Linked DNA regions of Macaca fascicularis. The protein of the gene in region 4 interacts with the protein of the main gene of each other region in a biochemical or structural test. Links are inferred from orthologs where the notes say so. Each region holds a gene or a part of one and is shown on either strand. Other genes may lie near its edges.

What was found.
Region 1: of the proteins of MAPK8 (region 4) and NR4A1, one has a biochemical effect on the other in vitro, tested with the Homo sapiens proteins (2 studies listed by BioGRID). The link is inferred for Macaca fascicularis from reciprocal best matches to the Homo sapiens genes MAPK8 and NR4A1.
Region 2: the proteins of MAPK8 (region 4) and GSTP1 form a complex in vitro, tested with the Homo sapiens proteins (2 studies listed by BioGRID). The link is inferred for Macaca fascicularis from reciprocal best matches to the Homo sapiens genes MAPK8 and GSTP1.
Region 3: the proteins of MAPK8 (region 4) and H2AX form a complex in vitro, tested with the Homo sapiens proteins (2 studies listed by BioGRID, with this or other methods). The link is inferred for Macaca fascicularis from reciprocal best matches to the Homo sapiens genes MAPK8 and H2AX.
Region 5: of the proteins of MAPK8 (region 4) and ELK1, one has a biochemical effect on the other in vitro, tested with the Homo sapiens proteins (3 studies listed by BioGRID). The link is inferred for Macaca fascicularis from reciprocal best matches to the Homo sapiens genes MAPK8 and ELK1.
Region 6: the proteins of MAPK8 (region 4) and MAPK8IP3 form a complex in vitro, tested with the Homo sapiens proteins (3 studies listed by BioGRID, with this or other methods). The link is inferred for Macaca fascicularis from reciprocal best matches to the Homo sapiens genes MAPK8 and MAPK8IP3.
Region 7: the proteins of MAPK8 (region 4) and DUSP10 form a complex in vitro, tested with the Homo sapiens proteins (2 studies listed by BioGRID, with this or other methods). The link is inferred for Macaca fascicularis from reciprocal best matches to the Homo sapiens genes MAPK8 and DUSP10.

What each region holds. Positions count from the first base shown.
Region 1 is NC_088385.1:58,893,752-58,897,469, forward strand, and holds part of NR4A1 (nuclear receptor subfamily 4immunitygroup A member 1), read left to right. Parts: intron 1-565; coding exon 566-695; intron 696-1,029; coding exon 1,030-1,181; intron 1,182-1,501; exon of another isoform or gene 1,502-1,592; coding exon 1,593-1,795; intron 1,796-1,887; coding exon 1,888-2,066; intron 2,067-3,541; coding exon 3,542-3,718. UniProt on the Homo sapiens protein: Orphan nuclear receptor. Binds the NGFI-B response element (NBRE) 5'-AAAGGTCA-3'. Binds 9-cis-retinoic acid outside of its ligand-binding (NR LBD) domain.
Region 2 is NC_088388.1:6,783,388-6,787,798, reverse strand, and holds GSTP1 (glutathione S-transferase P), read left to right. Parts: upstream 1-1,502; 5' UTR 1,503-1,540; coding exon of another isoform or gene 1,541-1,541; 5' UTR 1,542-1,734; coding exon 1,735-1,855; intron 1,856-2,150; coding exon 2,151-2,257; intron 2,258-2,371; coding exon 2,372-2,459; intron 2,460-2,824; coding exon 2,825-2,928; intron 2,929-3,788; coding exon 3,789-3,896; intron 3,897-4,074; coding exon 4,075-4,263; 3' UTR 4,264-4,337; downstream 4,338-4,411. UniProt on the Homo sapiens protein: Conjugation of reduced glutathione to a wide number of exogenous and endogenous hydrophobic electrophiles. Involved in the formation of glutathione conjugates of both prostaglandin A2 (PGA2) and prostaglandin J2 (PGJ2).
Region 3 is NC_088388.1:117,961,421-117,965,228, forward strand, and holds H2AX (histone H2AX), read right to left. Parts: upstream 2,215-3,808; 5' UTR 2,139-2,214; coding exon 1,707-2,138; 3' UTR 1,199-1,706; exon of another isoform or gene 1,001-1,198; 3' UTR 624-1,000; downstream 1-623. Other genes in the region: HMBS (porphobilinogen deaminase), read left to right, coding at 1-27; DPAGT1 (UDP-N-acetylglucosamine--dolichyl-phosphate N-acetylglucosaminephosphotransferase), read right to left, coding at 3,735-3,808. UniProt on the Homo sapiens protein: Variant histone H2A which replaces conventional H2A in a subset of nucleosomes. Nucleosomes wrap and compact DNA into chromatin, limiting DNA accessibility to the cellular machineries which require DNA as a template.
Region 4 is NC_088383.1:57,631,416-57,635,133, reverse strand, and holds part of MAPK8 (mitogen-activated protein kinase 8), read right to left. Parts: intron 2,165-3,718; coding exon of another isoform or gene 2,093-2,164; intron 1,747-2,092; coding exon 1,675-1,746; intron 378-1,674; coding exon 195-377; intron 1-194. UniProt on the Homo sapiens protein: Serine/threonine-protein kinase involved in various processes such as cell proliferation, differentiation, migration, transformation and programmed cell death.
Region 5 is NC_088395.1:47,738,025-47,741,233, forward strand, and holds part of ELK1 (ETS domain-containing protein Elk-1), read right to left. Parts: intron 1,448-3,209; coding exon 1,004-1,447; intron 295-1,003; coding exon 1-294. UniProt on the Homo sapiens protein: Transcription factor that binds to purine-rich DNA sequences. Forms a ternary complex with SRF and the ETS and SRF motifs of the serum response element (SRE) on the promoter region of immediate early genes such as FOS and IER2.
Region 6 is NC_088394.1:2,528,127-2,531,844, reverse strand, and holds part of MAPK8IP3 (C-Jun-amino-terminal kinase-interacting protein 3), read right to left. Parts: intron 3,138-3,718; coding exon 3,011-3,137; intron 2,663-3,010; coding exon 2,567-2,662; intron 2,477-2,566; coding exon 2,318-2,476; intron 1,626-2,317; coding exon 1,460-1,625; intron 662-1,459; coding exon 479-661; intron 402-478; coding exon 212-401; intron 108-211; coding exon 1-107.
Region 7 is NC_088375.1:79,702,941-79,707,324, forward strand, and holds the end of DUSP10 (dual specificity protein phosphatase 10), read right to left. Parts: intron 2,667-4,384; coding exon 2,401-2,666; 3' UTR 523-2,400; downstream 1-522. UniProt on the Homo sapiens protein: Protein phosphatase involved in the inactivation of MAP kinases. Has a specificity for the MAPK11/MAPK12/MAPK13/MAPK14 subfamily. It preferably dephosphorylates p38.

The DNA.
Region 1 (3,718 bases), on a different chromosome or scaffold from region 4:
ATGGGCTGCAGGGGTGCCTGGCCAGCCTCTGGTTTTTCTCTGCCTGTCCTCCCCCAACTCAAGGTTCTAGTGGGAAGGGGTGCCCTCACGCTCTCATGTTCCTGGCGTGAGATGAAAGGATCCTGGTGGAGGGTTTGGTTCCTGAGGACTAGGGGTGGACTTGGGAACAGGCTGTGTGTTTATCCCAGCGATGGTGCCTGCTTAACTTCCCATCCCCGCCCCCAGCCCTTTGGCCCTCTCCTATCTGCCCTAGGGAGAGGGCAGGCGGACAAGAGCCCATGAAAAAATACAGGTGTCTGGACTGCCAGAGAGACCCTGGTCCCCGATATTGTGTCCTGGGGTCTTCCTCAGAGGGAGAAACCTCCCCCAATGTCTTCAAGACTTTTCTCTCCCCCCCAACCCCCTAGCTCTCCCTCCCTTGCCACCCAAATGTTAGAAAAATAGCTGTGAACAGAGAGTGCTTTTGTCTGCAATGGCAGCAGGATCTGGACGGTCCTCTCCCCTAGGCTCCCCCCTCCCCACCCCACACTCTTGACAGCCTGTTCCGTGTTGCCCCCCCACCCAGCGCACAGTGCAGAAAAACGCCAAGTACATCTGCCTGGCTAACAAGGACTGCCCTGTGGACAAGAGGCGGCGAAACCGCTGCCAGTTCTGCCGCTTCCAGAAGTGCCTGGCGGTGGGCATGGTGAAGGAAGGTATGTGGCTGGGGTGCAGCCCAGCGGGGCAAGGGTAGGCTTAATTGGAGTGGGACCAGCAGGGTCCCCAGGCTTCTGCCCTGGATGACCCAGGGGAGGGCACGTCTTATTTCCACCCCATCTCTGAACCCCAGGCCTTGGAGGGAGGCAGCCTACACCTGCCTGGATTGTGAGGGTGGTGGCAGGGGGAGGTCCCTGTAGGGTACCTTGGATCTCAGGGGCTTTGGGTCCTAGGGACTCGGTGGGGCGCATCTCAGCAGTGGTGTGCGCGGCTTGGGCTGAGAGGCCCTTCCTCAGATCCCTTCCTTCCTCACCCCTACCCGTTCCTTTGCAGTTGTCCGAACAGACAGCCTGAAGGGGCGGCGGGGCCGGCTACCTTCAAAACCCAAGCAGCCTCCAGATGCCTCCCCTGCCAATCTCCTCACTTCCCTGGTCCGTGCACACCTGGACTCAGGGCCCAGCACTGCCAAACTGGACTACTCCAAGGTGAGGTCCCACCCCATGCCTGCCTCGGGGAGGGCTATGAGCACATGCAGTGCCTTTGTGCATGTTAGGAGAGCTGTCCCCTCCAGAAGGATAGAATGAGAAAGGAAGTTTAAAAAAGAAAGAAAGAAAAGCTACCCCCTCCGGTTTGATAGATCAAAGAGAGGAGCCCCCTCTGGGCTGACCAGATGGGAAAATGCAACCCCTCAGGCAGGTGGCCAATTAGAAAAATGTGTCCTGTTGGCAGCTGCAGCCCTGGGTTAATATGTGAGACTTGGCAAGCGAGAGCCTGGGCAGGATCTCACATCCACTCCCACCCCCAGGATCTGGCATCCAAGTGTCTGACACAGCCGTGTGTGGCAGTGGGTGCAGGACCCTGCCTGGGGTGCTGACCCCACTGGACCATCCTCCTAGTTTCAGGAGCTGGTGCTGCCCCGCTTTGGGAAGGAAGATGCTGGGGATGTACAGCAGTTCTACGACCTGCTCTCCGGTTCTCTGGAGGTCATCCGCAAGTGGGCGGAGAAGATCCCTGGCTTTGCTGAGCTGTCACCAGCTGACCAGGACCTGTTGCTGGAGTCAGCCTTCCTGGAGCTCTTCATCCTCCGCCTGGCATACAGGTGAGAGCTGCCGACTGTCTGCCCAGCCCCTTTCCCTGATACACCTGCCTGTGAACCACCCTGATCGCTCTTCGTGCCCATCTGCCTGCCAGGTCTAAGCCAGGAGAGGGCAAGCTCATCTTCTGCTCAGGCCTGGTGCTACACCGGCTGCAGTGTGCCCGTGGCTTCGGCGACTGGATTGACAGCATCCTGGCCTTCTCAAGGTCCCTGCACAGCTTGGTTGTCGATGTCCCTGCCTTCGCCTGCCTCTCTGCTCTTGTCCTCATCACCGGTGAGTGACCAGCACCACACCAGGTCCAAGGGAGTGGGTGTCAGGGAGTTGACTGGTTCTCAGGAGGGCACTGTCCCAGGGAGTTTGGTGAGCTGGGATCTAGCACTTTCTGGGCCCCTGCACTGCCCCGGGCTCATACCAACAGTAAAGTAGGGACCATAGGAATTGGAGATGGGCTCAGCTGCATCCAGCTCTAAAGCCCAAGACAGCCTTTGGTCCCAGACTGCCAGGATCTAGACTGCAGGTGTCATGTATGTGGCCTAGGGTATTGGCTTGTTTTTGTTGTTGTTGTTGTTGTTGTTTTGAGATGGAGTCTCACTCTGTCGCCCAGGCTGGAGTGCAGTGGCGTGATCTCGGCTCACTGCAAGCTCTGCCTCCCAGGTTCACACCATTCTCCTGCCTCAGCCTCCCGAGTAGCTGAGACTACAGGCGCCCGCCACCTCGCCCGGCTAGTTTTTTGTATTTTTAGTAGAGATGGGGTTTCACCATATTGGCCAGGATGGTCTCGATCTCCTGACCTCATGATCCTCCCACCTCTGCCTCCCAAGGTGCTGGGATTACAGTTGTAAGCCACCACGCCCGGCCAAGGGTATTGGCTTGTTTTGAAAACCTTCCTGTCAATTTTGCTGCATATAGAAAAGTACACAAATGGTAAATTTTTATAAACCACACTTACCCAACCAGCGCCTTGGTCAACAAAGAGCACATAACTGCCCCCCAGAACCCATTATTATGCCCCTTCCAGTCATTTGCCTTCCCCAAGGGTAACCACTACTTTTTATTTAAAAATTTAAAAAAATAAGATGGTACCTCACTATGATGCCCAGGTTGGTCTCAAACTCCTGGGCTCAAGTTATTCTCCTGCCTCAGCCTCCTAAAGTGCTGGGATTACAGGCATAAGCCACCACGCCCAGCCCTTCACTGTGACTTCTGACAGTGCAGATCAGATTGGCTGTGCCTGTTTTGGACTTTATGTAAATGTAGTTCTGCAGGATGGAATCTGGTGTTGAATGCAGAGGTTTTCAAATCTCTGTTTTTTAAAGGAAAGAATCCACCCTCGTTCCTTTTTTCACTTCAATTGCACAGGGGACCCCACTATATAGAACACAATCAGAGGTACTCTGGGCTGAGGGGTGTTGAGTTCTGAGGCTGAGTTTCTCAGAACAGTCTAGATTTTAAAAACCCAATGATCTAGCCGGAAAACCTCGGTTAGGATTTTATTTCCCATCTGTGACCCTGGGCAAGTCATTAGCCTCCTGGGCCTTGGGTTCTCACTTGGAGTATGAGGATAATGAGGGTTACTGCCTCTCAGACTTGTGATGATGCTTACTAATGGCCAACATGTGAACGCGCTTTTGTGAAGTGCCAGCAGAGCCTGAGGGGTGGTCGGGGCAGCAGTTTTAGGGGCCTGGGGAGGCTGGGGCTTTGGGGGCCTGGTTGTCAGATGTGCGGCTAATCCTGTACACTCCCCGCAGACCGGCATGGGCTGCAGGAGCCGCGGCGGGTGGAGGAGCTGCAGAACCGCATCGCCAGCTGCTTGAAGGAGCACGTGGCAGCTGTGGCGGGCGAGCCCCAGCCGGCCAGCTGCCTGTCACGTCTGTTGGGCAAACTGCCCGAGCTCCGGACCCTGTGCACCCAGGGCCTGCAGCGTA
Region 2 (4,411 bases), on a different chromosome or scaffold from region 4:
CTCCACCCTCGAGTAAACCACAGTGTCTGTTGTTTCCTTCTTTGTGATAATAAGTTCTCTTCATTTAGCTCCCACTTACAAGTGAGAACATGCAGTATTTGGTTTTCTGTTCCTGCATTAGTTTGCTAAGGATAATAGCCTCTAGCTCCGTCCATGTTCCCACAAAAGACATGATCTTGGTTCTTTTTTACGGCTGCATTAAATGAAGTTTTAAAGGCACAAAACGTAAACACCAACCCCTTCTCCACCACAAAAATCCCTTGATGAATTTGATTCCACTTAAATTAAGGAGTTTTGTTTAATGAAGGACTCCTTGGACAAACTTGACAGTTGATGGAATAGGAGAAGCTGTCTGTCATATTGAAAGCCAACAAGAGATCAATATCTAGAATAAATGAAGATCTGCAAATCAACAGAAAGCAGGCATTAAAGCCAAAGAAAACAGCCTAAGGTGCAGCCACTAAAAGGAATGTGATCATGTCCTTTGCAGAGATATGGATGGAGCTGGAAGCCATTAGCCTCAGCAGGCTAACACAGGAACAGAAAACCAGTGAGACCACATGGTCTCACTTATAAGTGGCAGCTGAACAATGAGAACATATGGTCACATGGAGGGGATCAACACACACTGGTGCCTGTTGAGCGGGGTGCTGGGGAGGGAGAGTACCAGGAAGAATAGCTTACGGATGCTGGGCTTAATACCTGGGCGATGGGATGATATGTGCAGCAAACCATCATGGCACACGCTTACCTATGTAACACACCTGCACGTCCTGCACATGTACCCCAGAACTTTAAATAAAAGTTGAAGGAGCGCCAGGTGCGTTGGCTCACATCTGTAATCCCAGCACTTTGGGAGGCTAAGGAGGGCGAATCACCTGAGGTCAGGAGTTTGAGACCAGCCCGGCCAAGATGGCGAAACCCCGTCTCTACTAAAAATACAAAATCAGTCAGATGTGGCATGCACCAGCTACTCGGGAGGCTGAGGCAGGATAATTGATTGAATCCGGGAGGCAGAGGTTGCAGTGAGCCGAGATCGCGCCACTGCACTCCAGCCTGGGCGACAGAGTGAGACTACGTCTCAAAATAAAATAAAATAAAATAAAAGCCATTTCCACTCCCCTAAGTGACCTCCACCCTGCCCCGCGAATCGCGTGTGCAAGCTCCGGGATCGCAGAGTTCTTAGGGAATCTCCCCTCGCGATGCCCCGAAGCGCCAGTAGCTGTGCGCACTTCATTGCAGTCCTCTTCCTGCTGTCCGTTTACTCCCTGGGCCCCGCTGGGCACCTGGGGAAGAGGGACAGGCTTCCCAGGCCAGCTGCGCGGCGACTCCGGGAGCTCCGAGGCGCCCCTCTGCGGCCGACGCCAGGTGCAGCGGCCGCCGGGACTGGGACCGGCGGGAGCCCGCGGGACCCTCCAGAGGCGCGGCCGGCGCCGTGACTCAGCACTGGGGCGGAGCTGGGCGGGACCACCCTTATAAGGCTCGGAGGCCGCAAGGCCTGCGCTGGAGTTTCGTCGTCGCCGCCGCCGCGTGCGCCATTAGTAAGTCCTCGCGGCCCGCGCCCCCGGGGGATGGGGCTCGGATCTCCCAGCATGGGGCCAACCCACGGCATCAGGCTCGGGCTACCGGCAGGGCCCCTCGCCCACCTCGAGACCCGGGACGGGGTCCCAGAGTACCCAGGAAGTCCCCAGTGCCGTTAGCGGCTCTCAGGGGGCCGCAGCGCCTCGGGCAGGGATGGGACCCGGGGAGGGCAGGCTGCGCGCACCGCGCCTTGGCGTCCTCCCCCGGGCTCCAGCAAACCTTTCTTTGTCCGCTGCAGTGCCGCCCTACACCGTGGTCTACTTCCCAGTTCGAGGTAGGAACCTCTGGCAGGGAGGGGAGGCAGGGGCTAGGGCTGCAGCCCACGGTCCCTCGCGCACGCGGAGAGAACCGAACCCCCCTTATCCCTCCGTCGTGTGACTTTTACCCCGGGCCTCCTTCCCTGTGCCCCGCCTCTTCCGCCATGCCTGCTCCCCTCCCCAGTGTTGTGTGCAATCTTGTGTGGAATCTCTGTTCCCCTGTACCCTCCCTGCACTCCTGACCCCTCCTCCGGGTTGCTGCGAGGCGGGGTCTGCCCGGTCCCCACATCTCGTGCTTCTCCCTCCCCACAGGCCGCTGCGCGGCCCTGCGCATGCTGCTGGCAGACCAGAGCCAGAGCTGGAAGGAGGAGGTGGTGACAATGGAGACCTGGCAAGAGGGTTCTCTCAAAGCCTCCTGCGTAAGTGACCATGCCCAGGCAAGGGGAGGGGGTGCTGCGCCTTAGGGGGCTGTGACTAGGATCGGGGGACGGCCAAGCTCAGTGCCCCTCACTGAGCCATGCCTCCCCACACAGCTGTATGGGCAGCTCCCCAAGTTCCAGGACGGAGACCTCACCCTGTACCAGTCCAATACCTTCCTGCGTCACCTGGGCCGCACTCTTGGTGAGTGTTGAACCTCCAAGTCCAGGGCAGGGATGGGCAAGCCTCTGCCTCCGGAGCCCTTTTATTTCAATCAGCTGCCCCGCAGCCCTCTGGAGTGGAGGAAACTGAGACCCACTGAGGTTGCGTAGCTTGCCCAAGGTCAAGCCTGGGTGCCTGCAGCCCTTCCCCTGTGCCAGACTGCCTCTCAGGTGCCAGTTGAGCTCTGAGCACCTCCTGTGTGGCAGTCTCCCATCCTTCCACGCACTTCCTCTTCCCCTCCTCCCAGGCCGGGGCTCACAGACAGCCCCGTGGTTGGCCCATCCCCGGTGACTGTGTGTTGATCAGGCGCCCAGTCACGCTGCCTGCTCCCCTCCACCCAACCCCAGGGCTCTATGGGAAGGACCAGCGGGAGGCAGCCCTGGTGGACATGGTGAATGACGGCGTGGAGGACCTCCGCTGCAAATACCTCTCCCTCATCTACACCAACTACGTGAGCATCTGCACCAGGGCTGGGCACTGGGGGCTGAACAAAGAAAGAAGCTGCTTTTGCCCTCACCCCCCTACCCCTCACGTGGCTCGGGCTGACCCCTCCTTGGGTCAGGGTGCAGGGGCTGGGTCAGCTCTGGGCCAGGGGCAAGACACAACCTGCACCCTCATTGCCTGGGACATGAACCAGTCAAGTAACGGGTTGTGGGGGAGAGTGCAAGGACAGAGACCTCCAGCAACTGGTGGTTTCTGATCTCCTGGGGTGGCGAGGGCTTCCTGGAGTAGCCAGAGGCGGAGGAGGATCTGTCACCAGTTTCTGGATGGAGGTGCTGGCACTTTTAGCTAAGCAAAGTATGCAGACACAGAGCACATCTGGGGACCTGGGACCAGTTTAGCAGAGGCAGAGTGTGTATGTGTGTGTGTATGTGTGTGTGTGTGTGTGTGTGTGCGCGCGTACACTTCCTTGTGTGTCGGGGGTGGGTAAGGAGATAGAGATGCGGGGAGCAGGCCCAGGTCCCGAAGGCCTTGAACCCACTGGTTTGGAGTCTCCTAAGGGCCCTGGGGGCCATGGAGAAGTCTGAACAGGGCTGTGTCTGGATGTGAGGTCTGGAAGGATCCTCCAGAGAAGCCAGCTCTGAAGCTTTTGCAATCATCTGGTGAGAAATCCCAGCAAGGATGGACAGGCAGAATGGAATAGAGATGAACTGGCAGCTGAAATGGACAGGATTTGGTACTAGCCTGGTTGTAGGGAGCGAGCAGAGGAGACTCTGAGACTCTGGTTTCTGGCCTGGGGCAGACAAAGGGGGCGTCTCAGGGGCTGGGAGGGATGAGAGTAGGAGGATGATACATGGTGGTGTCTGGCAGGAGGCAGGCAAGGATGACTATGTGAAGGCACTGCCCGGGCAACTGAAGCCTTTTGAGACCCTGCTGTCCCAGAACCAGGGAGGCAAGACCTTCATTGTGGGAGACCAGGTGAGCATCTGGCCCCATCCTGTGCCTTCCTCGCCACCGTCTGCTTACAGATGGACATATGTGTGAGCCATTTGTTCAAGCAAAGTGGGGCAGACCTAGGGGATGGGATTAGGCCCTCTGCCCCCAGTTTCCCCAGCCTGCTCCCGCTGGCTGAGTCCCCGGCCCGCCTGCCCTGCAGATCTCCTTCGCTGACTACAACCTGCTGGACTTGCTGCTGATCCATGAGGTCCTGGCCCCCGGCTGCCTGGATGCGTTCCCCCTGCTCTCGGCATATGTGGCGCGCCTCAGTGCCCGGCCCAAGCTCAAGGCTTTCCTGGCCTCCCCTGAGCACGTGAACCTCCCCATCAATGGCAACGGGAAACAGTGAGGGTTGGGGGGACTCTGAGCGGGAGGCGGGCTGCTTGCCTCCCTTTCTCCAGGACCAATACAATTTCTAAGAAAGCTGCTGTGAGCACTGTCTTTCCTGGGAAGGGGTTCTCAGCTCTTAGCCTGGAGGTTGGGGGGAGGGCAGAGCA
Region 3 (3,808 bases), on a different chromosome or scaffold from region 4:
GCACGGCAGCTTAACGATGCCCATTAACTGGTCTGTGGGGCACAGATGCCTCGGTTGCTGCTGTCCAGTGCCTACATCCCGGCCCTCAGTGCCCCATTCTCACTGCTGTCTGGGGAGTGATTACCTCAGAAGACTGAACTGCAGGGTTCAAGCCTTCCGGGGATTTGCCTCAGTTTGGGGCCTTGATGACTGCCTTGCCTCCTCAGTATGTGGGGGCTTCATCTCTTTAGAGAAGTCCAAGCCACAGCCTTTGAATGTAACCAACTCTACTAATAAACCAGCTCTGAAGGTGTTTTTGTGTGTGTGTGTGGGGGGGTTGGCGGGAAGATATGAACAAACACAAAGCCCTTTCATCCTTACCTCGGAGGCTGGGACTTTTGCCCAAAGTTCTCCTGGTACATCCTTTCTGCTTCTGCCTCAATAGTTTTCATTTCACACAGAATAAATTGTCTCGCAGGAACACCAAGAAACAGAGCCATAATCTTAAATTCCTATGGTTTGCTCCTTCTTCGGTTAACAGTAGAGCCTATTTATATTGCATGCCCCTCCCACCCCCACTATCAGGAAAGTATAGAAAGTCACTAATCCTACAACTCTCTTGCAAAATGAAAACAAATGCTCCATTTTTAGAAAAACAATCCTTTAATAAAATTAGTTCATCTAAAACTCCCCAATGCCTAAGGTTCTAGTCTTGGAAGGGTTAGCTGCAAAATTCCAGTTCGGAAGCCAACGGAGGCTCAGTCCAGACAGGGATTAACCGACTTGTGCTGGTATCTAGGTGCTTGGATTGCCGAGTTGAGTTTGCTGGAAGGGAAATGGGGAGGCCCGACAGGCTTGGCTGCCAGTCGGCTTCCGCGAAAACGACTCTTGCTGTCCACATAGCCAGCCGTGAAGCCAAACTGCAGGCCTCTGCCCTCCCCTAAATGTCCTCGCAGGAGGCAGTCACTCGGGAGGAAGATGTGCCTGTTACCAAGTGCTTCGTCCCGGCCCCAGCGCAGACCTATGAATGAAGATGGAGGGAGATCTGATGTGAAAGGCCTGGGTCCCGGCCGCAGAGGGGGCGCCAGACCGAAACCAGCGATCGTGTCTCTCCCACCAAAGCCTCCAGGCCAGCGGCCACGTCTGAAAGTCCTGGGCTAAGCACCACGCCGGGGGAGTACCGGACACCCTGGCTGCAGCTGCCGAGGGCCTCACTCACCTTCAGGGCCGCCGGCCTCTCGGCCTGGACTGCCCACCTCGGCCCTGCGTCAGAGCGGAAGGCCAAGTCTTCCAGAAGGTGCTGCGGCCTCCCCGCAGCCCCTCAGCGACTCAGGATGGGGCAGCTGGCTGAGTCACGAGCGCCGAGGCGGGCAGGTGCGGCGCCGCCGGCCTCCCCCCGGCAGGCTCGGGTCCTCCGCGCCACGGTGGTCCCCGAAGAGTGCCCAAGCCGCGTCCAGAGGGCCCGAGCCCTACCGGAGGGCGGCCGGCGGATGGGGCAGGGCCCGAGGCCGACGCGGCAGGCGGTGCAGGCCAGGAGGGGGGCGGGCGGGGACTCGAGGCCGGGCGGCAAAGGCGGGCGATGGGAGGGGAAAGGAGCCGGGAGCCGCGGCCCGCTTGCCCCGCAGTCTGAAGTGGCTCAGCTCTTTCCATGAGGGCGGTGGTGGCCCTTAAAAGGGCCTTTGTGGTGGCATGGGGAGGCCTGGCGGCCGGCCGCGGCGCGGGCCCTCTTAGTACTCCTGGGAGGCCTGGGTGGCCTTCTTGCCGCCCGAGGGCGCCTTCGGCCCCACGGTGGCGCTGGTCTTCTTGGGCAACAGCACGGCCTGGATGTTGGGCAGGACGCCTCCCTGGGCGATCGTCACGCCGCCCAGCAGCTTGTTGAGCTCCTCGTCGTTGCGGATGGCCAGCTGCAGGTGGCGGGGGATGATTCGCGTCTTCTTGTTGTCGCGGGCCGCATTGCCCGCCAGCTCCAGGATCTCAGCGGTGAGGTACTCCAGCACTGCCGCCAGGTACACGGGCGCGCCGGCGCCAACGCGCTCGGCGTAGTGGCCCTTCCGCAGCAGCCGGTGTACACGGCCCACTGGGAACTGGAGGCCGGCGCGCGACGAGCGCGACTTGGCCTTGGCGCGGGCCTTGCCGCCAGTCTTGCCGCGGCCCGACATGCTAGCGAGGTAGACCGGTGAAGTACAACGGTTCAGAGACAACCCAACAGAAGCCCGCCGCAGTGTAACTGCTGTCGCGCGCGCGCCGTGAGGCCGCCTTTATAAGCCCCCAGGACACACCTCTGCGCCCTCCTGATTGGCTCTTTTCTCCAATACCCGCCTCCGGTTGGTTGCGGTTAACCCTTGGGTGTCGCGCCTCGGCTGAGGGAGCGCGCCCGCTGATTGGTCGAATTTGAAAACCTTTTGCCCGGGGAGAAAAGGCGAGGAGGCGGGGTAGCACGCAGACGGCCAAACACCCGCTGATGTAGCCAATCCTTGTAAAGCGCGCGAGATTTAAACACTACAGTCGGAAGGCAGAACCGGAAGACAAAAGGGGTGGAGTCTGAGGCCACCTAGAGAGCGTCTGGGAAATCTGTGCTGGCGTAGGATGTTTAAAGGAAAGGGGTCAATACTATAGCTACCCTTTCCAGGTCCGGTCACTCCACACTCCCTTCTCCTACCTGACAAAGGGAGAATGGAAAAGGGAAGAAATTAGACCCCTTAAAGTTTTCTTTTTCTTTCTTTCTTTTCTTTCTTGTTTTTAATAGACCAGGTCTTGCTTGCTGTCACCCAGGCTGGAGTGCAGTGGTGTGATCTCAGCTCACTGCAAGCCTCGGACTCCTGGGCTCAAGGGATCCTTCCTGCTTAACCTCCCGAGTAGATGGTACTACAAATGCTCCACTACAGTGGGCTAATTATTTATTTTTGTAGAGACGGAGTCTCGTTTTGTTGCCCAGGCTGTCTTGAATTCCTGAGCTCAGGCAATCCTCCTGCCTCGGCCTCCTAAAGTGCTGGGATTACAGGCATGAGCCACTGTACCTGGTGTCTTTGAAAGTTTGACCCCATGCCAGGAAACAGGATAACTTCAATTTTGTGGCCCTCCATGCCACCTGAAGTATCAGGATTTAAATGTTTATTCAATATGTTCTGTTTGGTCTCAGTTCTGTTCACTTCTTGTTAGACGGGGTCTGGTGGGGCAGAGAGATAGGCATCCTGTTGGAGGAAGTACCCCCACCTACCCTCCCAATCCACCCAAAAATGCCCATATAGGAAATATACCTACAGGAACAATAAGAAATAGACAACACTTTATTGTCTCCATTGAGAGCATGTGGCCCCCTGCTTACTTCTTACTAATCAGAACACTTAATTTACAATCAAATAACAGGTCACTGTGGAGCCTGTGTCCCTAGCCCTGGCCCAAGTTCTATCCCAAAAACCAGTAGTTCCTTGAGAGTCAGGACTCTGAAATGTGACTGTGGATAACTGCAAAAAAAAAACTTCTGTATCCCACCCTGTGAGGCTGCAAAGACAGGATGGAGAGGGAGAGTAGCAAGTTGCAGAAAGTCATAAGTAAAATCCAATCAGTAGACAGTAGGGGGCAAGAAACGCCCAGGATGCCAGTGATCACAGGGAAAAGAAAATGCTGAGAACAAAATCTGGAAGAGTATGAAGAGTGAGAGAGGCCTGGGCAAGGAGGCAGTCTGGGACCAGAAAGAGGTCAGCCTGAGTCAGGAATCCTAGAGACTGTGAGGTAAAGGACAATGATCAAGGGACTCAGACATCATAGAAGAGTCGAACGAGCTGATATCGAATGGAGAAGGTGAAGGCACTGCCCAGGATCTGCAAGG
Region 4 (3,718 bases):
AAATATTACTGTAAAATTATTTTATACATATGATTAAAATATATAAAATTAAAGAAAAATAAAACCTCATTTTTTTTCCCACCATCCAGAGAAAACCTTGGGTTATGTCCCATAAGAATATGAATACATATAAACACACGAACACATACACACACACCCCAAATGGGATTAAATGTATATATTTGTAAAAGTACCTTTAAGTTTGTTGTGTTCCGAGTCAGCTGGGAAAAGTACATCAGGGAAGAGTTTCTCGAAGCTATATCCAGCATATTTAGGTCTGTTTTCAACATAAGTCCTTACTGTTGGTTGCAGTTTCTTCATGAATTCAGGACATGGTGTTCCAAGCTGTTCAATAACTTTATTCCACTGATCAATATCTAATATCAAGTAGCTAAGAAAAATACTCCATAACTAATGTTCAACACATTAGTCATAATCATATTATAAGAAAATGGAAATTTTAAAAATCCTAAGAAAGGATGTGGCAGTTACAAATTTTATATCTCACAAGCACCTTGCAAAAGGCAATGATTGTAGATGGACAGAAATGATCAATAAATAAGCTTTGTTAATCTTATTTATTGTGTGTGTTCATACTAACTGATTTTACCTTAAAATGGAAGCTTAAACTCACAAAGTCTAAACAAAATTATAAGTAACTAAGAATAATGACAATTACTATCCACAGTGGCTCTAACTGCAAACGGCACACAATGCTATAATAATACACAAAATGTTTCCTTTTCTGTCAGTTTATCAGAAAACATGATTGTATCTCCTCGACTATTTCTAGAACACATCCTGTTTTACTAAGTTTTCTACACTAACAGAAAATAACCAGTTGCAATAAAAATAAAGGCTTCTATAAAAGCGGCATTATCTTTTGCCATTCTTTGTTCAGTTTATGTTTAAAAATTTTTTCTAAAGCTCCGATGCCTATAAAAAAGATTGTTTTTTGGTAAGTTGTAAGGTTGGGATTTCTTAGTCTCCTTTCCTCTAGTCTTTACATTCCAGGAACCTGAAGGCCAAGACCTAAAACTCACTTATCGTAATCTTGTGAATATGGCTTTTTCCATTCTTCCTCCTGAAACAATTCTAAATGTTACTAGCTGATAAACACATAACAAATCACTGTTAATATAAATATTAAAAGTAGTGGGATGAACAAAAAGCATGAATCCAAAGCTATCGTCACCATATAAAACTACTGCTGAAATTCTCAGATGAAAGGGTATGTTATGTGAGTAATGAGACAACAATCAAAAGACATAAACCACATAGAACATTAACAAAAAGGAGGTGGGGAACAAAACAAAAGGATGGCCAGAAGCAACAGACAGCTCCAAAATTCATATTAAGTTGTACGTATTTCTAGACTTAAGTGTATAATTATTAGAAATTTTTAATGCAAGCCATGACTTTTGATTTAGGTTAAATAAATCAACTCAAAGCCAGCAAGTAATTGTGCACAATTACAATTGAGCAGGGTTCTGAACTAACATATGAAACAACAAATGAGGGAAAGAAAAGTCTATGTCAAATAGTAGGTGGTATTTTAAGAGTAATTTAACAATATATTAGGGAGAGACAAAATACATTACACCTGACCAAACTGAAGTGCTATCATACATTTTGACCTTTAGAAACTACATTTTAGGCCAAAGATAAGGATACGATCTGTACCTGGGAACAAAACACCACCTTTGATCATTTCTCCCATGATGCACCCAACTGACCAAATGTCAACTGAAAACAAAATGCAATGACATTAACATAAAGATTCTGGTTAAAATAAAAAAAAAATAAAGAAAATCACACACACCATGTATACTTTAAAATTATAAAAAGCAGTATAAAATAAAAATGAGTGACAGTGAATGTGCTCTGACTACCAGCAGAGACTGTATGTCCTACTGCCAGATGCAGCCTACAAATATTTCAGCTTATCTCAACAATTTTTGAACTCTAATAGCCACAAACTTTATGCCTGTTTAAAATCCCATCTGTATAAATGTAGCATATTCATTTTCATTAGAGAACATAAAGAAATTCATCGCCTAACTAATTAACTGCTGCAGCAGCACAAGGATACAGTCCCTTCCTGGAAAGAGGATTTTGTGGCAAACCATTTCTCCCATAATGCACCCCACAGACCATAAATCCACTATGTGTTTGCAGCACAAAAGAAGGAAAAGCAAAGCAAAAGGTCATTAAAATCAAAGAAGCATAATATGACTGCATTATATAAAAACTGCAAAACATCACAAAAAGAAAAAAGTGATCGTAACTTTAGCTCATGGAATAATTTAAAACACAAATTATTTTTTGAAAGTCTTTGGTTCACAAAAGAAAATGTAAAGTGTGGCATTTTAACTACATATCTAATTTCAAAGTGAGAGCTACGCACAGAAATTGCATAAATAGAAAAACCCTGCATGTTTTGTCCCTGAGAACTTGTTTATAAAATATGAAACAGAACCAAACACGAACTTTGTAAATAAAAATGTACATGAGGTAGTAAAATTATAAAAATAAAATCTTTATACTATACTATTTAGAAGTTCAACTGTGCATTATACTCTCTAAGTTAAATAAAAGAAAAAAAGCATGAGAAAACAATTCAGCATATTCAAATATTTAACAAATAATCTCTATGAATAATTACAATAAAAAAGTTAATCTAAAGCTCTTTAGAATTTTTAAACTGGATTTCCCAAATATATTTAATTGAGAAGTGTTATGCTTGTTCTGAACTAAAAGTCCATTTGTTTTCTTGGCAACATGATGCCACATTTACCCTACTATCCCAAAAGGAACAAGTGCACAGAGAATTAACAACTAATCAAGGAAAACTGTAAGAGAAATGTATTTCATGTTTCCTAACTGAAGTTTTTTAAAGCCATAAAACCAAACTGCTTTTGATTTAAGAAGTTAGTTTTGGCTAGACACAGTATGACAGTTCTCACGAACTGACTATCTAGAGTCTCCTGGAAGACTTACTGATGACCCTTGCCAACTGTAAATGGGAATCCCAATCAATGTTGACAAGAATCTGCTAGACACAGAAACAGACAATTGGGAATCTCCACCTACTTAGGGAAACTGACTGTACACCGTGGCATTTTATGACTTTGGGTTTGGCTATCACACAAAAAGGAGAGAGTAAGTGCTTGCAGTTTAATAGGAAAAGAGGGAAGAATGAGCAATTTAGAAGGAAAAGCCTTAGAAACTTGCATTTGGTTGTGACATCTGAAGGTCCAAATTCTTTAAAATGACAAGAGGAAAACAGCACAAATAGATGTCAGAAAGAGACGTGCCCTTTACTCATGTTAAAGGACTTAGAAAATTAAAGCCTGTACTTTCTAATACAGTACATTCTTACTAAAAGGCTGCCAGTTCACTGAAGAATCTTAGGAGCTAAACTGGGAATTACTTTTGGAAATACTGTGGAACTAAAGTTTCCCTAAAATTTCATATTAAAATGAATGAACATTTTTATATTTATGTCATGGTTCAGCTTTCAAGGATAAGGTTTTAGAAAAAAAAGTTAATATTTATAAATTAGTGCCTCAGAGAAAAATTTTTTCTAAGGTTTTCCTTTTTGACAAAAATCTATTAGAATAAATCTTCTCTACAGATTTTAAAGAGAATGTTAAACTTTAAATATCCAGCATACAACTTATGTTGGTAACTTCCAGAAAAGCCTATTTTTAAACAA
Region 5 (3,209 bases), on a different chromosome or scaffold from region 4:
GGGCTTCCGGCCCTTTTGTGGCTGGGAGATCTCAGGGCTGGAAGCCACGTGGCCGCCCGCCTGCCCTGCGGTGTCCATAACAACCGCGGGCAGCCGGGCTGGCACGCCCTCCTGTGGAGGGACTTCTGGCTCGGCCTTGGTAGTTTCCGGCACAAACCCTCTCTCCCTGGCAACTTCCAACTCTTCCTTGGGCCCTTCCACTTTCACTTCTGGGGGCAAAGCCCGGCCCAAACCTGGCTCCACATTCAGCTCTTCCGATTTCAGGTTTGGGGCCTCGGGCGGAGTCAGGATGACCTGGGAGAGGAGCAGGTACAAAGAGGGTAAGGATTGTTGGGGCCACAGGATTCTCCTGTGGGCTACCCAGTGATTTCCCCGGGAAAGTGGCACTTGGTACTGGGGGCATCAGAGCAGGTTCTCCAACAGGACATAGGACTTCATCAAGGAAGTAGGGCTTCCTCTGGGGCAAGTCCTCCTATGGGACAGGGGACTTGGGGTAAGACAACCTGAAGCAGGTGGGAATCTGAGGGATACCATCCTCATTCATTAAAACAGTGGTTCTCAAAAATTTACCTTCCTCTGAACCAGCAACATCTGCCTCATTTGGTAACAAGTTAAAAATACAAATTATTGGGCCCCTCCCCAGCCCCACATATTCAGAAACTCTGGGGGTGTGCCTGGCAATCTGTGGTTTAACAAGCCCTACAGGTGATTCTGATGAGCGCTAGAGTGTGAGAACTAGTGCATTAAACAAATATATTTCAGGCACCTACATGTTCGGCAGCTACTAACTGTAGCACAGTATTCTCCCCTTTCTGTCTCAGGGTTTGTGTAGCTCTCTGCCCCATCCCTCCTTCTAAGAGGATGTCTGTGTTCTTCCTTCCACCATTATCTCCTTTAACAGGAGCACTATGTCTCTTCTACCAGCCTCCCTCATCATCCGGGGATTACACATCAGTCCTCTTTACTGCCTCCTCTTACTGGATTTCTATATTCCAGTCCTTACCTGCAGAGGCAAGCCGGCTTCCTCAGCCTCCAGGCAGGCCTCCAAGGGGCTTGGACTGGTGCTCCTGCTCCCCGAGGGGGGCGCTGCTGCTCCTGCAGGAGCTGCATTGGGGAGCACCACAGCAGGCCGAGGATGAGGGGGTGGCTGTGGCTGCAGAGACTGGATGGTGAAGGTGGAATAGAGGCCCGAACGCATGTACTCGTTCCGGCTGCTGCGTGCCAAACCACCCGGGCCTGCCATTCCTGCACCCTTGGGTGTGCCTGGCTTTCCAGAGGCAGTGTCCCCTGGGGTGGCATGTACAGCAGCAGGGGCCACATTTGGCATGGCGGAGGTAACAGACACCTCTGGCTGGGGCGGGCAGTCCTCAGTGGAGCACCCTGCGACCTCAGGATAGGACACAAACTTGTAGACGAACTTCTGGCCGCTCACCTTGCGGATGATGTTCTAGAAAGGGAGGAGAGGAACAGAGGGCCTGAGAGGAAAGGGGCAGGCTGGAGGCAGGGTGTGTGTATGTCGGGGTGGAGTGGTGTTTCTCTTCTCCTAGTGGCTCTCTTCCCACTTGCCCCTCTCTGGCTTTCCTGTCCCTCCTCTGTAAGTTCCCCTCTCAGCCTATCAGCCCATTTCCTCTCCCGTTGGTTTCTACCTCTTTCCTCTCCCCCTAGATTCCCCTTATCTATACCCCTCCCTAGTTCCTCCCCTTTCTCTCTTCTCTCCACAACAATTCTTTCTTTAAGCCCCTTCCCATCCACCCCTTTCCAAGCCTCCCTCTGTCACTCTCCAGGTCTATCTATCTGATTTTCCCACCCCCTCCACACTGTGGCTCCTCTTCACAATGGGGCCCGTGAAGGGAAGGTAGTAGGTGTGGGAGCAAGTCTTCTTGGCTCCAAGAACCAGGAGTTCACAGGCCAGGCCTTGTGGGTGACTGTCAGGACACAGTTTTGGAGACTAGCAAATGCAGTAAGACAAGAAAATGAAGTAACTGATATAAATGTTGGAAGAAAGTAAATTAATATAGATGGATGGGGCGATGAATTATTAATACAGAGGATTATTTGAAGCTAATGACACAGAAGTGGAATAGGGCAAGGTCACTGCAGAGGAGAGGGCGAGGAGGCCTCATTATTAATACCACTGTGGAGGTTGAAGCTAAAGCGGTAAGAAAATGAAGTAACTAACAGCAATTAGACAAGAATATTAAAAATACTGGTATAAATATTGGGAGAGGGCCTATATCAAGGCTGGCTTGGGTGGGTCACAGAGCATGTTTGGGGTTTTTCAGGTCTGGTGGGTCTCAGAGATGACCTAGCGTTCCCAGAGGGCACAGTGAGGGAGCCTCATTACTAATATTGTTCTGGAGGGTTGAGCTCAAGGAATAAAATATGAAAGTGGAATAAATGCCATAAACTATGAAGGGTATGCAGCATAGGTCCAGGGCTGTTCTGGGGGGCACGGGCAAGAGGAGTGTGGGAGCACTAGGGCATTCTGCGGAAGTCTTAGTGCTGGTCAGATATGTCACAGGGTGGGCCCGTGTTTCTCAAAAGAGGAACGAAAAGGGATATTCATGAATATTGTTTGGAAGTTTCAGCAGGAGGAATAAGAAGATGAAATAACTTGTATAAATATTGGGGGGAGGGGAAACCCAGCAGTGGCCTGGGGGTCTGAGAGGGCAGAATGGGGGAAATTTTAAATTTTAGCTGTAGGAATAAGATAATGAAAACAATTGATATAAATATTGGGGTAGACCAGTGCTGCTCTGGGAATTTAAGAAGATAGGGTGTGGAAGCTGGTACTAAACATGTTGTTGCAGAGGTTTTAGCTTAAGGAATAAGAAAATAATTGGTTAAAGATGTTGGGGTCCCAGAGGACAAAGTAAGCAAAAGTTGGTATAATACTGTCAGGGAGGTTTTGATTCTAGGAATATGAAATATTCTGGAATAAGAGAAGACTATGAAATAACTAGGGAAGCCCAGCACTGGTCTAGGGCTTCCAGAGGACAGAATGAGGACCAGCCATTATTAACCATGTTTTCAAAATGTTGGCTATAGGAATATGACACGAAAATGAAATGCGCATGGCAGGGCAGCATCACTGTGGGGATCTCAGAGTGGGAGTAGGAGTCAGTATTAATAATGCAATGATGGTTTTTGCCAAAGCAGTAAGACAAGAAAGTAGGTGAGATAGTGCTTAGGGGCCCAATACTGGCCTG
Region 6 (3,718 bases), on a different chromosome or scaffold from region 4:
CTCCCAGCCACATGGTGGGTGCAGCACTGCTGCCTGCTCCTGTGGGGTCCCCGCTGGGCTCCGGCTCTGGTTGCGTGCTGCTGCTGTCAGGCTCTGGCCCATTCTCACTGCAGGAAGGATGGTGGCTCCAGGGGGGCCACGGGGCATGCACCTGCCCCAAGACCCCTAGGCCCTTCCCACCTCTGCAAGCCTCCCCTCCGCTCCTGCTCACCTGCCAGGCTGGGGGCCAGAGGATGGGGTGGGGGCCGGGTCAGTGAAGACGTGCTCTGTGAGAGGCCCGGGCCGCAATGTGGCCGTCTCTGGCTCGCTGGGCCCAGGGTCTGGCACCTCCGTAGCCTCTGTGGCCTCCTCTGTGGACTGGGACGGGTTGACCTTCCCGTTGGCGATGGTGGCCACCTCCCCTGTGTTAGGAGAGGTGAGCTTGGGCTGGGCAGAAAGGTGGGAATGAGGGTATGGGGGAAACTCACCCAGGACTCACCCTGCCCCTTGTCTAGCACCGGGGTGTCCCCTCGGGAGGAGCAGTTGCTCCGTGGCACATTGCAGCGGGTGGCACAGCCCACCAGGGTGATACCGGCCAGCACGCCGTCCACGCCCGGGTCCTCTGGGTTCACGTCGCTGTCCAGGAACATCTCCCCGGGGGGGTAGTCGCTGTCGCTGGCCGCTGGGGAGAGGGACGGCCCATCAGCCTGTGCTGGGGAACCCACTACTGCAAGGGTGTGCCCAGCACTCATACAGGGGCAGAGGGAGTGGGAGCTGGCCTCCCACTCTCCCAGCAGACCCAGCTTCCACACATGGCTCCACCCACAGCCCACCCAGGACCCTCTGCCTGCAGGCCTGGGACTCCAGCAAGCCTGCTCTGTTGGGCGGGCCCCTGGGCCAGGGGAGCTGAGAAGTAAGACCCTGGTCCTGGGAGCAAACAACTTGTGATCCTGTGGCAGACCCTCAAGAACCCAGACGGCCCTGTGGTTTCACACCAGAGACCTGGCAGAGCCCTCAGCACCCCTTCGTCCTCCCAGTGTTGGGGCTGGCCCAGAACATCACCAAGGTTACTGCTCACAGGGGTGACATGAAGCTCCTCACCCACACCCCCTTAGCCCCTGGTGAGGCCGTGAGATTTCGGCCCAGCTGGAGGTTTCACATTCAGCATGAGGAAATGTTTTCCTGTGGTCCTCGAGTGATGCTTCAAGCTGCGAGCCGTGCCTACCCCTCACCCTCTAACCAGGTGAGCGTGGGGTCCCAAGTAGGTAGGAAGAAGAGGCCGAGGCCATTGCGAGCTTCCTCCCAGAAACAGGGCCCAGGGCCTCACTTGACTGGGTGTCGCCCCTCCCACTGTCCACTGCCATGTTCCCGTGTCCAGAGGACACCCCGAGAAGGTGGGTGCTGTGTGGCTGGGCTTTTACTTAGCTTGTTAGTAAAAGGGAGTGGCGCCCAAGTGGAAACGCCCACTCCAGCCGCTCACCAGGGATGCTGGAGATACACAGTACGTGCGCGTTGCAGACGGTGAACTGGTCCACCACGGTGCCCGGCTGGTTGGCGTCGATGATCACCACCTTGCTGGTGGTCAGGGTGCTGGTCAGGATCCACACCCGGCTGGAGGTGGCGTCCATTTCAGGGAGCTCCTTGGCCTGTTTCAGGGCACGGGATCAAGGTCAGAGCCCGAGCTTGAGGCTACCCGGCAGGAGCACAGGGCCATGGGACTCCCAGAATCTGTCAGGATCCAGCCTTAACTGTAGCTTGAGAGGACATGGCTGTCCTTTCCCGGGGCCAGAGCAATGCGGACTCAGGACTGCACTCTAAAGCGCTTGCATACGTGGTTTCGTCTCCACAGAGGAAGCCGCTGAGCTCCAAGAGGCCCAAGCGGGCCATAAAACTAAGCCTCTGACCACTTGGAAGCAAGCTCTGCCACTCCAGGCCACTTGGGGGGTCGGGGAGAGGGAAAGGGAGAGGAGGGGAGGGGGAGGAGAGGAGGGGAGGGGGAGGGGATGAGGGAGGTGGGAGGGGAGGGGGAGGGGAAGAGGGCCCACCCCAGCCCCATTCCCAGCCAGGGGACGGAGACTACTGGATGGCACTCGGAGAGGGGAGGGGAGGGCCGCCCCAGCTGCAGCCCCATTCACAGCCACGTGGGCCAAGATTCCTACTGAAAACCCAGAAGGCGGCTCAGTCCTGGGGAGGGAAGACACTGCTTCCCGCAGTCCAGGAGCCCCTGTGCCGCCCTGCTTCCGGCTGCTGTCCTGTGTCTCACTCCCAGCATGCTCTGCAGCTGAGCTGTCCTGAGACTCAGCCAGGGAGGGTGCCCGGTGGCCTCCGCCATACTCACCTTCTTCTTCTCGGGAGACCCGTGGGCGCTCTTGGGCTCACCGTCTCCTTCGCGGTCGCAGGTCAGGGGGTCGCGGCCTGGCGCTGGCTTGACTCCATTCCCACCGTCGTCCTCATTGGGCTTCCATCCGCTCAGGTTGACGCCCGCAGCACACCACAGCTGCAAGGGCAGGGCCGGGGTCGGGTGTCACCGGCGCTCCCCAGCCTCCCGCCTGCCCAGCAGGCCTGAACGGGGTCCTCGCCCGCTCACCTTCATGGTGGGGTCCTTCTCCACCAGAGGGCGGCAGTACACGGGCACCGGCACGTTCTTCATCCGCGTGTCCTCCTGGCCCCCGTTGGGACTCAGCTGCAGGGAACAGGGAGGCGCTATGGGCACCAGCCATGGCTCCTACCCATCCCTCCAGAAACCTTAGGCCGAGCTGCCAGCTTCTTGCGGCAGAGCCACCTCAAGACTGGAGGCAGGTGGGGGCGTGGGAGCCGCAGGGCTCCTCCTCCGACCCTCCAGACCCCTGCCCAGGGGGCTTACTAGGACCTGCCAGGCCCCGCCCCTCCCCGCCCGTCGTCCCCTCCCCGCCCGTCGTCCCCTCCCACACCCGGCACTGCCCCGCCCTCTCCCCGCCCCTTACTCACGCTCCGCCCCTTACGCCCCGCCCCCGCGGGGCCCCGCCCTGTCCCCGAAGCGCCCCGCCCGCACCTGCTTGTACTTGGCGGGCAGGCTCCAGCCGCAGGCCTGAAGTCGGCCGTCGTCGTTACGCACGTGCTCACGCACCTGGCGGTACTGCTCGCGCTTCTGCTCTCGACGGGCGGAGGACGTGCAGTCGCTGAGTGGAAGAATGATGGGTGATGTCTCTGTCCAGGGGGAGCGGCAGCCGAGCAGCAGGCACCCACAGTGCCCCAGGCTTGCCCTGGGGGAGGTCACGGCAGGGAGGCCCATCCTCGCCTTTTCCCGGCCACCGAGTGCCTAGCTAGGGAGGGTGGCCTTCCCAGCACCGGGTATGCCCCTGGGCTTGCAGGCCACAGCTGGCACCTGCTCGACCCAGAGGCTGCTCTTCGGCCACAGTCACGGAGGGCTCCACAGACCGGGACCTGGAGTGCCGCCAGGGCACAGGCGCGGCCAGCGACTCCTTGCTGCACATACGTCTGAAATGGGTCCTTGCTGCAGAGGCCACCGTGGAGCCCAGCGCAGCCCCCTGACTGTTGGTGTGCACAGCCTCTGCCAAGGGACATCCTGAACCAAACACTTCGGAGCCAAAGCAGCCCAGCTCCCCACTGCAGGGAGGGGCAGGCAGTGTGCAGGGAGAGGTCACGACCCCTGGCACGTGGCCAGCAAGGTGGAGGCTGCCCTCAAAGTCCAGCTTCAGGTCCTGGAGGGGAGGGGCCTCAGGACAGGGCCTCCCCAACC
Region 7 (4,384 bases), on a different chromosome or scaffold from region 4:
GCCTCAGGATAGGCTTTTCTCTCAAAATCATAAATTTCCAAAAACATAAATCACTTCCATGTGGATAAAGATGAGAAATTGTATTGATTTTTCTGTTTTGTTAGAAAGAAAAAAGAGAGGGAAAGAGGGAAAGTGGGAAAGTGGGAAAGTGGGAAAGGGAAGGGAAGGGAAAGGAGAGGGAAGGGAAGAGGGAGGGAAGAAAAGGAGGGAGGGGAACAAAGAAAAAGCAGAAGGAAAGAAGGAAGGGAGAGAGGGAGGCAATATACCTTACATGCTATCAGAAATTTAATATTTAGACTTAAAATAACAAAAGAAAAAGTCTGATAAATTACCATGTATTTTAAATCACTAATTATATATCAACCTGACTCCTTAAACCAAGGAAATTGTTAGCCTGAAGAATAGAAAGCACAGAGATTTACTTTTTACCTGATTAACACTTTATATTAAAATAATCCAAAATAGCTGTTAATTCCTGTTAAATTCAGTCTCCACTTTTCTATAAAAGAAAAATTTAAATTATTTTTGGTAGAAAAGCTATTTTTTAATGTCAAAAATATTTCCTTATAACATTTTCAAGCCAACATACACAAAATTATTTATGTCAAATATTGTCACATAGAATCCAACATGCCAGATTCTTCAACTCTTTTATTCACCCCAGGCAAATTTCAGTTTGCCATAAATCTTCCTTATGGCCAAGTCCCACTAGACTTTTAATTTAATTAAACATTGAAAATATTTGCATTGTGTTTTTCCCATACTCCCAACCCTCCATCAACAGTGAATTGGGAACCCAGCTATGCATTAACCCAGAGTTATAAGGAAGCTGTACATATGTATGGAGCTCAGTTTCAGTTTGCTGGGAAGAGTAGGCAATAGCAATTTGCTGCAATGCATTCCATGGTTAATGTCACCAAAGATGTCAAGTGAGCAAGTGACAATGGGGCAGTTGGGGCAGAAGAGGGGGAGAGGAATAGCAAGATCCCTAAGTGGAAGATTGTCCTAAGTTTTTATCAAATACCCACTAGGGAGATCACTGAATTCTCACCAATCAATCTGGCAGTGATTTGGACACCAAGGCGCAAAGGCAGATGGGATCCCCTTAAGTTCACTTTATGCAAGGCTTCCCCAATGCAAAAGGAATTATATTTGCAGGAGAGGATGACAGCATTGTGAGAATAGAAGGGATAGTGACTGGGCAGATCAATACTGGAGCTGTTTCACTTCCTTGCTAATTCTGTTTCACAGTGAGAAAACTGGATATGTTTCCTTCCTCATCTCTCTTTCCCTATATAAAAATCTGTGTTTTATTTCAACTTTTATATGCAAATTACCAGAGCTAAGAAAGGCTTGAACCTGAGTTAAGGTAAAAGAGGGGGGAAAAAAGACACATCCCAAACCAGTTTCATTTATGTAATGAAAATAAATTTTTACACAATCAACAGAAACACACCAAGATTTTTTTTGCGAAAAATATTTTTAAATAAATTTTTCTTTTTTTCTTACATTCTGATATACATATGTAACAAGGTTTATGGCACTGTAACCAGAATCAAATCAGAAAAAAAAAAAAAAAAAAGGAAAAAGGTGGGAAGGAAAGTAATTGATATATTGTTGAATTCCTTTCTATCTCCAACCTGGCAAATTTGCACTATTTGTCTACCATTCAGCTGCCAGCTCTAACTTGTTTGCACACTTAAAACATCATATTATTGCACAAGAAGCCAGTGAAGGCATATGGTATAATGGTCAGTTCCTCACTATTTCAAAAAAAATCTCTTAAACCCAGAGAAGGAAAAAAAAAAAAAAATGCAGAGCATGAAACACACAAAATCAAAGGTATCCTTTGTCTTTTTAAAGAATGCCTGAAGGATTCTTAGACCACTTAAGCTGCCCTGATCTTCTCTTTGCACCAGTGAGCACAACAGGGCTTGGTTTGGTTGGGTTTTTGTTTTCTATGTGGACAGCCCAGGCGGGTCCCAGGCCTTGGTGATTCAATGTCTTTTCTATTTACTTTTGGTTCTTTTTAATTGGTTTAAAGTGTGTAGTATTTTCGGTCTATGAACCTGCACAGACTATTTAGTCATAAACTCTACAAATAGCTTAAAAGGAAAAGGGGGAGCAACAAGTTGTATTATATTTTTATTGTTGGCTTAAAAAAATTACTTCTTTAACCTCCTGAATTTGTCAGTTTGTGGGAGGTGAATCTCAATGGCGTCAAAAGTTATAGTCTTCTCACACTTGTTAAAAATAAAGTGTTTAAACAAGTTTGTTTCCATTCACAAACTTTACTCCCAACTAAAAAAAAAAAAAAGAAGAAGAAAAAAAACCAGAATCCATCCTCCTTCCTCATTGTCTCCTAACGGAGAGCAGCAATCCTTTCCATCCAGACCATTGTCACACAACCGTCTCCACACCCATCAGCTTTGGTGTAAGGATTCTCGGTGTCACACCGTTGTTTAGGTCTTCCTCAAATTCTAGCAACTGCCCCATGAAGTTAAGGTTTGGTGAGATAATTGGTCGTTTGCCTTTGACAAATTTATAAGCATCAGTCATGGTCATCCGAGTGTGCTTCATCAAGTAAGCGATGACGATGGTGGCAGAGCGGGACACCCCAGCCTGGCAGTGGATGAGAAGCCCCTTCCCACACTGGTGAGCTTCCTCTGAAAAAAGGGAGAAAGACAAGAGATGAAGGGCAGATGGAAGGGAGAGGCACGGAGAGAGAAACTTTTATCTAAATTTTGCAATGCCTTATTTTGTAGAGAAATAATGAATTAAAACTGTTTTAAAGCCAAGTATAATCTACTAGTTCATTATATATATTTATGTCACAACTTCCAGAACTGGCTAAAGTTGATAGCAGCATGAACAAGAAGCTATACATCTACATTTAAAGAGAGGGAACAGTTTGCTTCACAGGTGACAGTGGCCTGAAGCCAGACCTATAACACAGTTAACTTTCACGCTGAACAAGCTACTGATTAAGTCAACTCTAACAGTCATTGAACCTCTCTCTTAAATGTCTTGTTCTCTTATTTTCTGGAATTATACTACTGAAAAAAAAAGAATGAAGGAAAAGGAGAGAGGGAGGGAAAAATTATACCAACACATGAAAATATACACTCACACACACATATATATATATGTATGTGTATGTGTATGTGTGTGTGTGTGTGTATATATATGTTATATATATATATATATATATAACAGTTCCTCTTTGGATTAAGGATGTTAATTCCAATTTTTGGTTGTGTGACTTAACAAACCTAAAGCTAGTAACAACAACTCTCTCACTTGTAATAGAGAAAAAAACACTTTCTTTATTCTATAGAATTGCTCTGTACAGGAACGGGAATTAAATGGATAAGAGTTTTAGTCTTACTAAACCCTGATTAAGGTTAAAGGAATAAAGCTAAACTAGAAACATGCTATGTTCAGCTTCTCCCCAGAAAATCCAGTTGTTGCAAAGTTAACTAAAGGCCAGTAGCATACAGGCCCAGGGTGTCACCTCTCAAGCGTTCAACCCCATTTGCATCCACGTATGACATTCCAATGTGGCAATAATGCAGAAGATGGAGGAATCCCAGCAATGGTTCAAAATCCAGAGCAATTGAAAGAGGAAGACTTGCTAAGTTTTCAGATATATTAAAAGCTCAGGACAATAGCGTGTGGGCACTGCCTGAACAGATTCTTAACGACATTTCTAGACTCTAACGCATCTCTAAGCAAGCTTCCTTGAAGGAACACCAATTAGATAAACAGGTAGGGAAGGAGAAGGAGTAGAGAGAATAGCGATTTCACCTAAACTACATCTACTGGCTAGCCACCAGTGGACGAAGGAAAAAAAAAACCTGATATAAATTTTCATCTTAAAAGTTTACAGATGAGGTTTACTTCTCATAGTCAACAGTATTTCAAGAAAAGTAAGCATCTCTCTTTTTCCAACCTTTTCCCTTCAGTGCACAGTATTGAGCTCCAAATCAAGACCAGAAAGCATGGTGATGAGAGAATGAGCTTCCAAGTGCCTGGCTGGACCACTGGTTCCACTACACACACTTGATTCAGGAATAAACAAACTGGCATAAACACTAAACTTAGATGCTGCTTAATTTATATTAGACTCTCAGTGAAAGCTATTATGTTTATAAAACCTGCTGTGTTTTTCCTAACGCAAGACTGTAAGATTTCAGTTTATCCAATAACATAACGATGAAAATAAAATTGCGCCTATGCAGGTTGTGATTTGGAGTTGTTCTTCGGGCTGAATGCTATTTGTTATTGGTCTCGTTTTCCTTTAAAAAAAAAAAAAAAGGCAGGTAAGCCTGAGTAATCTATAAGGAATGTGAGAGCTTTGGTTGAAATCCTCTTAGAACAAGTA